Linked DNA regions of Mus musculus. The protein of the gene in region 2 purifies or fractionates together with the protein of the main gene of each other region. This does not show direct contact. Links are inferred from orthologs where the notes say so. Each region holds a gene or a part of one and is shown on either strand. Other genes may lie near its edges.

The links.
Region 1: the proteins of Mia2 (region 2) and Preb purify together in Homo sapiens (affinity purification with western blotting; 3 studies listed by BioGRID and IntAct, with this or other methods). This does not show direct contact. The link is inferred for Mus musculus from reciprocal best matches to the Homo sapiens genes MIA2 and PREB.

Annotation. Positions count from the first base shown.
Region 1 is NC_000071.6:30,957,486-30,962,001, forward strand, and holds the start of Preb (prolactin regulatory element-binding protein), read right to left. Parts: upstream 2,843-4,516; 5' UTR 2,621-2,842; coding exon 2,486-2,620; intron 1,928-2,485; coding exon 1,738-1,927; intron 1,452-1,737; coding exon 1,231-1,451; intron 1,067-1,230; coding exon 986-1,066; intron 873-985; coding exon 748-872; intron 577-747; coding exon 403-576; intron 1-402.
Region 2 is NC_000078.6:59,185,985-59,189,795, reverse strand, and holds part of Mia2 (melanoma inhibitory activity protein 2 isoform 6 precursor), read right to left. Parts: intron 1,486-3,811; coding exon 1,251-1,485; intron 161-1,250; coding exon 1-160. UniProt on the Homo sapiens protein: Plays a role in the transport of cargos that are too large to fit into COPII-coated vesicles and require specific mechanisms to be incorporated into membrane-bound carriers and exported from the endoplasmic reticulum.

The DNA.
Region 1 (4,516 bases), on a different chromosome or scaffold from region 2:
TCACTGTAACATACATACAACAGAGGATTCACTGTAACACACATACAACAGAGGATTCACTGTAACACACAACAGAAGATTCACTGTAACACACAACAGAGGATTCACTAACAGACAACAGAGGATTCTCTGTAACACAACAGAGGATTCACTGTAACACACAACAGAGGATTCAATGTAACATACATACAACAGAGGATTCACTGTAACATACAACAGAGGATTCACTGTAACATACATACAACAACAGAGGGTTCACTGTAACACACAACAGAGGGCTCATTGCTCTGAAGCTTGTGCAAACTCCCTCCCCACAACAGTGGTCCTCCAGAGACTGAGTCAGGACTCATTCCCCAGCTCCCTCAAGCGCCCACCATCCAATCAAGCAGTAGGACTTCACACCTGACACTGAGGCAGGAAATGACCTCATGGCCACAGGATCTGGTCCGAAGAGGCAAGAAGGTGGAACTGTCCCAGGCTGTGAGGTAGCAGGGTGGGGGCTGACGTAGGCGCTTGTGGGGTATCTGCACTGTGAAGAGTCGCAGCCCACCGAGCTGATCTGGAACCTGCCCAAACCTGGAGGCCAGGCAAAAGGCTTTCAGTTCCTGTCAGCCCTCATGTTTGTGCCCTGCACCCTGGTCACACCTGGAACAACCTCCAACAAGGCTCCAGCCATGGCCAGCTCCTTCTGTCTTTTCCCATTTCCCAGCTGAGGTGTGCCTGCCAGCCACCCTGTGACCTGCACACCTGCAGGCCTGGTAGCGGTATGGTGTATTAGAAGAGGCTGGTCCATTCTCTTGCCACTGTAGCTGTGTCACCAGTTGATCCTTCTGCCACACAGAGGCCTTAAAGTCCCAGCCCACTGTAACCAGCTGGGGAGGAGTAAAGATCCCAAAGATGGACAGTTAGGACATCTATGTACTGTGCAAGGCACACAATAGGCTCTGCCTTTCTGCACCAGCATCCCACATCTCCACCTCCTTACCTTGCCATCAGGACCCAAAGTCAAATCTCCAATCTCCCCTTCATGGGCTTTGAACTCCAGAACTTTCTCCAGGCTAGGTACCTACAGCCAAGACAGTTACAGACCAGACAGCGAGAACGCTGAAATCCCCATCCCTCTTACCCCAATGGCCACTCAAGTTTCACAGAATGCATATTCAGATTCTCACAATTTTGGTGTTATTGCAACTAACACTCACCCACCCCCCCAAGCCCCTAAAACCACACCTTCCAGACACGAACATGACCATCAGTTCCTCCAGTGGCAAGCAGGGTGTTATCATGGTTGAAGCACACAACTTTCTGCAGCGGTTCATTGCTGAAGTCTGTCTGTACTGCCTCCAAATTCTTTACTTTGAGTTCAACCCCTTCGGGGTGAACTTGTGCTCCCGATTTCTTCTCTGCTGGAGGAGCCCCCTTTCTCTGTCGAGGTCCCTGCTCCTTGGAACCTGCAACACAAACAATTTGCCAGGAACCAGATTCCTTTGTTGTTGTTTTTTAAGACAGGGATTTGCTAGGCACCCCAGGCTAGCCTTAAATATCCTCTTGCCTCCACTCCTAAGCTCTGAGACTACAGCTGTGCACCACCTCCCTCAGATGGACCTGAGCATCTGTATTAACTAACACCAGTCCTCTAGTGACCCAAGTACAGACTTCAATGTGACCACTGCCCCACACCTAATCTCTCGTTTTTGGAGACCAAGAATTAGAGCGACTTTTTCCAAAGCTCTTCACCTGACTTCTCCGCTTTACTGCCCTTCTGTTGATGGACCTGGAAACGAAGAAGCTGACACTGGGCATCCTGTCCGGCAGCAAGAATGTCACCAGCAAGCGCCAAATTCATGGTGGCCCGTGTCTCCGTGTCATGAGAGTGCAGCAAGGAAGCGCTCAGGCACCCGTTGATCAGCTCTAGCTGCAGAAAATGCTGTGAGGGAACCAAAGTGGGCAAAGGTCAGGCCAGCCCGGAAGTCACATTAAATCCTAGTCTCTCTCAGTTGTACTTTTGCTTCCCGCACCTCCAGCTCTTATTTTTTGTTTTTTTTTGTTTTTTTGTTTCTTTGGTTGTTGTTGCTGTTGCTTAGAGCTGTATTCTCTTACTGGAGCTTCTTAATTCATACAGCAAGCAGGGTTTAGATTACTAGGTCCAGTTTACAGAAAGAAAAGAATTCCGTCTCCAGCTGCTTGAAGATGGACAAGACAATGTGCCTTCCTGGAAAAGGCCAGCGTATGAGCCCTGGACCAGCTCTCGTAATCCGGCGTGGACAGTCCTGGATTCGCAGACCTGCACAGCTTTCAGTCTAATTTTGGCTGTCTCAACCACTCTGCTCAGGTGAAACCAGCACCCGAACGGCAATCCTGGGTGCTCCCGCTAGAAATGGGTAGGGACTAAATCAGGGGTACTGCTCACCTCTGCATCCCCCGGCCACCCTGGAATCTCCCTGGGCCACGGTATAACCTGTTCTCAGTGGCCCTGCGTTCTCACCACGCCATTCTTTATGCCGGTCTTGGCAGCTCCTCCTCCGCCCGCAGCGATGAGCAGCCCAGTCTTGGGGTCTATCCGAAGCGCGTACAACGGGAACGGGGCCCGGTACAGCTCCACACCCCGGCGCCGACCCATCCCGCCCGCACGTTCACCGCCAACCCCGCGGAACCCACGACATGCCGCGCCTCGCCTCCGAAAGCTCAGGAACTTGGCGCTAGAGTTTTCCGGAAGACTGCCGACCCCTCTCAGCACTGGACTTGCCACCACTCAAACCACCGCAAGCAGCCGATCTGCGCCCGCGCGGCCGACTGGGTCTTGCAGGCGTTCAGTGCGCACGCGCCGAGCTCCTGGGCTCTCTCTGCGCAAGCGCAAGACGCCAATCCGCGTCAGCACTAGCGGGACGCGCTGTCACGGAACCCTGGCGTCGGATCCGGGTCCTAGCCCCGAATGACGATGAAGCTGCCATCTTTGTGTGGGGCGTGGGAGGTGGGGCTAGAAGAGATTACTGAAGATCAGTAAATCGAATTAAAAAGTTCTCGGACTGGGACAGTCCCCACTTCAGGAGAGATACACAGCAGACTCGTACAAGCCGGGCCTTTGTGTGTTACTCCAGGGAGGAAATGGGTTCTCCCGGGTTGTGTGGAGGACAGACACTCCAAAACAGATTCACTGCTTCCTAATATCCTAATATGAAGAAATCAGTCCCCACTTTGAGAGCATCCTCCGCGGTTGATTGGACTCTTTCTTATGGCTTGACATCCACTTCTGGAACATCGAACTCATGGGACTGGCAAGACTTGAGACTAGGCACAAAAACCCACAAAATCCCAGATAAACCGGGCTATTTGGTTACCCTACTATTTAAGTGTTTTTGGAACATGTTCACATTATAGAGATGTAAGGACCATTATTTGAATATGGTTTATATTTTAGTATTTGATGTCTTTTGCGATTCATAATGAGCCCCAGTCAACCATACATGAATTTATACTACCATGGTGTCTTTTGGACCCATATGCAGCTGAACAAACCACGTGATTAGAAGAAGCCAATTTTAGGCCCATTTACTAGCCTTCAGGGAGGAGAGAGGAACTTGACACTGAATTCAGTCACCAGTGGCCAGTATGTGCCCATATGATGAAATATTTGTTTTTAAAACAACCCTAGACAATAGGGATCAATGAGCTCCTGGGTTGGTGGTCTCATGTAGGTGCTGGATGGATGGATGGTGTGCCCAGAGAGGGCAAGGAAGTACTGCATTCTTCACCCTTTATCCTCCATGTACCTTGCCCTACACATCTCTTCCCTTCTGCTAATTCTGAGTTCTATTCTTTATGCTAGAAGAGAAATCCTAAGGAAGATGGAAGTGAGCTCTGTGTGCTGTTCTGACAACTTACCAGACTGACAGAGGAAGTCACAGGGACTTCTGCTTCCCAGCCTGTTATTTAGAAGTACAGATAGATGGTCAGGACTCAAAGCTGGAGACACTGGAAACGATCCTTTAGGATCAGTCCCTTTGATTTATGGGATCTATCCAGTGTGAACACCTGTGGGTGGGTGGTGTTAGAAATTTCGTTCCATTGTTGGACAGATACCTAGTTGGTGTCTTAGAATTGGAGATGTGTCTGAAAACACTCCATATTTGGTTTCAGAGATGTCCTAAGAAGCAGAACTTCTCACTGTGTGAATGAAAAATGACTAGGCAAACTCCAGTTCACACTGGCCGCTTCTCTTATTTTATGTCAGTTCCTGTTTGTAAAACACTGTTGAGCAAGTGAAAGGAAGGTCGCTAAGCACCTGGCAGCCAGGCTCTAATGCAGTTGTTTTGGTTTGATGGTCATTTCCTGTTGTAGATATTATCTACCACATACTCTTCCCACCCAAATTCCTCCAAGTCTAGGCAAGAACATCATGTGCTATTTCTTGTGAACATTCTACTGCAAATGGTTGTTGAGGGGATGGACAAACACTCTAACTGGGGTTGGCTAAGAAAGTTTGATCCTGATGCCTTTCCTTCCCTTTTGTTTTTGT
Region 2 (3,811 bases):
GCCTCCTGTGTTTCTGGAGGGTCAGCTGCAGGCTCTTTTGAAGGCGGAATCAAGTCTGGGGGGAGCTCACTTCTACTTTCAGGATGTGGGGGTGGGGGGAAGAACCCAGCTCTGGGGGGAAGGTAAGGTGGAAAGCCCCTCGGTGCGTACACAGTTCTCCCTGTTCAAAGAGATTAGCAAAAGACATTGGAAGTTTAAACTGAGTACTGCACACTTGTTAACCTAGCAGCTCCAGGAGCTATTATGACATTCAAACACTCACGCCACAGTACTTGATCTCAAGAATTAATTTTGTCACTGAAAAAGGTACTTCATCAAAAACACAGGATTAATAAGAATATTACTAATTTCAGGTACGTTTGTCCTATCTTAGCAGCTACACAAGATTTTGATACACTCAAGACTTTAAGCTCTTGATATTCTACTAAAAATATTTCCTATAATACCAAGGACCACCTTAAAACTTCCCAAACAAAGTTCATCTTGATTCACCTTGAACTTGAAAACTAGTGATGAGAGTGACCTCACAGGACAACTAGGCTGGTTCTTGTCTAGGACTTAGGATTTACTGTGAAGAAACCTGGGTTCCAAATGGGAAAGTATGCTGTAAAAGCAATAAATTACTTTGATTTTAAAATGAAAGGGTATTAAGGAATTTCAGTAAGTTCAACAAATAACTAGAAATGAACATAGATTTTAAATAAATATGGTCACAGGAACTATTTATGAAAAAGTGTACAACATTTTAGTCAGTAATCTTAAAACTAAAATATAAGTAATAATTTAACTAATCACCACAATACATTTTTTTTGTTGTTGTTTTGTTTTTGTTTTTTGAGACAGGGTTTCTCTGTATAGCCCTGGCTGTCCTGGAACTCACTTTGTAGACCAGGCTGGCCTCGAACTCAGAAATCTTGCCTGTCTCTGCCTCCCAAGTGCTGGGACTAAAGGCGTGCACCACCACACCAGGCCACAATACATTTCTATCAAATGAATTACACATAATTTTAATCTTAAAACTGCTTGTAAATTGAGTGGTTTTCTGAACTATCACAATACAGTTAAAATGAAAACTTAGCTAAGGTGGATGGAGCCCTGGCTCCCTTTGATGCTGGACTGTAAGCTGTGAGCTATATAAACCCGTTCCTTCCCGCGAGGTGGTTCTGGATAGTGTATCACAGCAGCAGGGACCAAACTACAAGTAAAGCACAGATAAACTGTCATCTGCAGGGACTATTAAAAAAGCCTACCTGGGAACGGAGGAAGTGGTGGGCCAGGGAAGTCCCTTGGTGGAAAATAATCTCGAGGAGCTGCATAGATGCTTCCTGGAGGAGGTGGGGGGAAAGAGGGGCCCCTTCTCATGAACTGGCTCCTTGGATCCACTGGAAACAATGGGTCTCTGACTGGAGGAAAGGGTGGAGGGAAGAAGCCACGGCCAGCTGCTTCGCATTCAGCAGGGATAGGAGAATCAGGCACATTAGAGTTCTGGAACAGATGGACAAGCAGCAGTCAGTACAGTGGCTCGATTCACAGCTCCTTTCCTGAAGCCTTTAGGTGCCAATGCTGAACGTGGGCCACGGCACTCTAGAAAGCTGCACAACAGACTCCGTTTTCCATATCGGCATATGAGCTGCATGTTAACATGTATTAATAGTCTACCTAGCTCAAGTAAAACTCAAGTACAGTTCAAGCATATCAAAATGAACACTTAAAAAGATGAAAACACAGGCTGGAGAGGTGGCTCAGTTGTTAGGAGCACTGAGTGCTCTTCTAGAGGTCCTGAGTTCAATTCCCAGCAACCACATGGTGACTCACAGCCATCTGTAAAGAGATCGGATGCCCTCTTATGGTGTGTCTGAAGTCAGCTACAGTGTACTCATATACATAAATAAATCTTTTAAAAAAAAAAAAAGGATAAAAACACCGTTATCAAACACACATGTAAAAAGAAAATGTTGAGATACTGATATTTTGAAGATGAGGAGGGAAACAAAGGGGCGATCCGGTGTAGGGAGAACCAGCCAAGTGAACAGAAATTGGGGGTGCGGGGAGCATCTCTAGGACCCACTAGAGACCTGGGATAAAGGAGCTCCAGAGAGTCTATGTGGGTGACTCTAGCTGAGATTCTTAGCAGTGGGGGCCTGAAGTGACCAACTCCTGTAGTCAGGCAGGAACCCCAGTGGAGGGATAAGGACACCAACCCACCCACAAAACCTGACACAAAATGCGTCCTACCTATAAGAAGTGCATGGATAAACATGGAAAAAAGACTGAGGGAATGGCCAAACAATAACCCAACTTGAGACCCATCCCATGGGCAAGCACCAATCCCTGACATTATTAATGGTATCCTGTTATGCTTGCAGACAGGAACCTAGCATAACTGTCCTCTGAGAGGCTCCACTCAGCAGTGACCAAAACAAATGCAGAGTCTCACAGCCAAACATTAGACAGAGCTTGGGAAGTCTTGTGGAAGAGTTGGGGGAAGAATTGAGGGACCTAGAGGGGAAAGGGAATCCATAAGAAGACCAACAGAGTCAACTACCCTAGACCCGTGGGTGATCCCAGAAACTGAACCACCAACCAAAGAGCAGACAAGGGCTCGCCTTGGGCCTCCTCACACATGCAGATGTGCAGCTTGGTCTTCATGTGGGTCCCCCAAAACAGGAGTGGGAGCTTACCCTGACTCTCTTGCCTGCCTGTGGATCCTGTCCCCTCACTGAACTGTCTTGTCTGGTCTCAATGAGAGAGGATGTACCTGGTCCTGTAGTGACTTAAGGTACCAGTGTGGGTTGGTACCCAGTGGGGACCTCCACTTTCTTAGAGATGAAGGGGGGGGGGGCGGCTGCGTGTGGGGGAAGGGACTGGGAGAAGAGGGGGCCTGTGATCAGGATATAAAGTGAATAAACCAATGGGGAAAAAAGATACTGATATTTCCAAAATGACAAAAGTCAATATCATATTTTAAAACTAAAATATACTTTAAGATTCAAATAAGATTTCAAGGAAGAAATTCTAAGTGTGTTCAGCTAGTAAGTAAGGTGGCTTAAAAACCCATCTGAAAGTCATGTTTTGTTGTTTTTTAAACAGGGGAGCTGTAGGTTTCTTTTTTTTTTTTTTTTTTTTTTTTTTGGTTTTTCGAGACAGGGTTTCTCTGTGTAGTCCTGGCTGTCCTGGAACTCACTCTGTAGACCAGGCTGGCCTGGAACTCAGAAATCCGCCTGCCTCTGTCTCCCAAGTGCTGGGATTAAAGGCGTGCGCCACCACGCCCGGCATAGAGAATCTTTTTTTTTTTTTTTTAACGTTTCATTTACCATATGTGTATGGGTATTTTGCCTTCATGTATGTCAGCATACCATGCACAACCACGTACAATTCTTGGAGGATAACAATAGGACTTCTGATCCCCTGGGACTGGAGTTAAGCATGGTTGTGAGATACCAGGCAGTTGCTAGGAATCAAACCTAGGTCCTCTAGGAGAGCAGCCAGTGCTCTTAACCTGTAAGCCATTTCTCCAGTCCATGATCTGGCGTTTTCAAACAACATTGCCTTATGTAGTCCACACTGACTTTGACCTCATGATCCTCCTGCCTCAGCCTACCAACATGTCAGGATTACATGGCTTGTGATTTGTAATATTTTACCATAGGTAAAACAACAGCCAGAAAGGAAACAGTGTTAATCCTAAGTAGAAGTATGTTTTTATAACATATTGTTATGACAGGTAGAACAGTTCTAGCCTTATTCTAGCAAAACCAAGAAACTGGTTATGGGGCTGGAGAGATGGCTCAGCAGATAAGAGCACTGACTG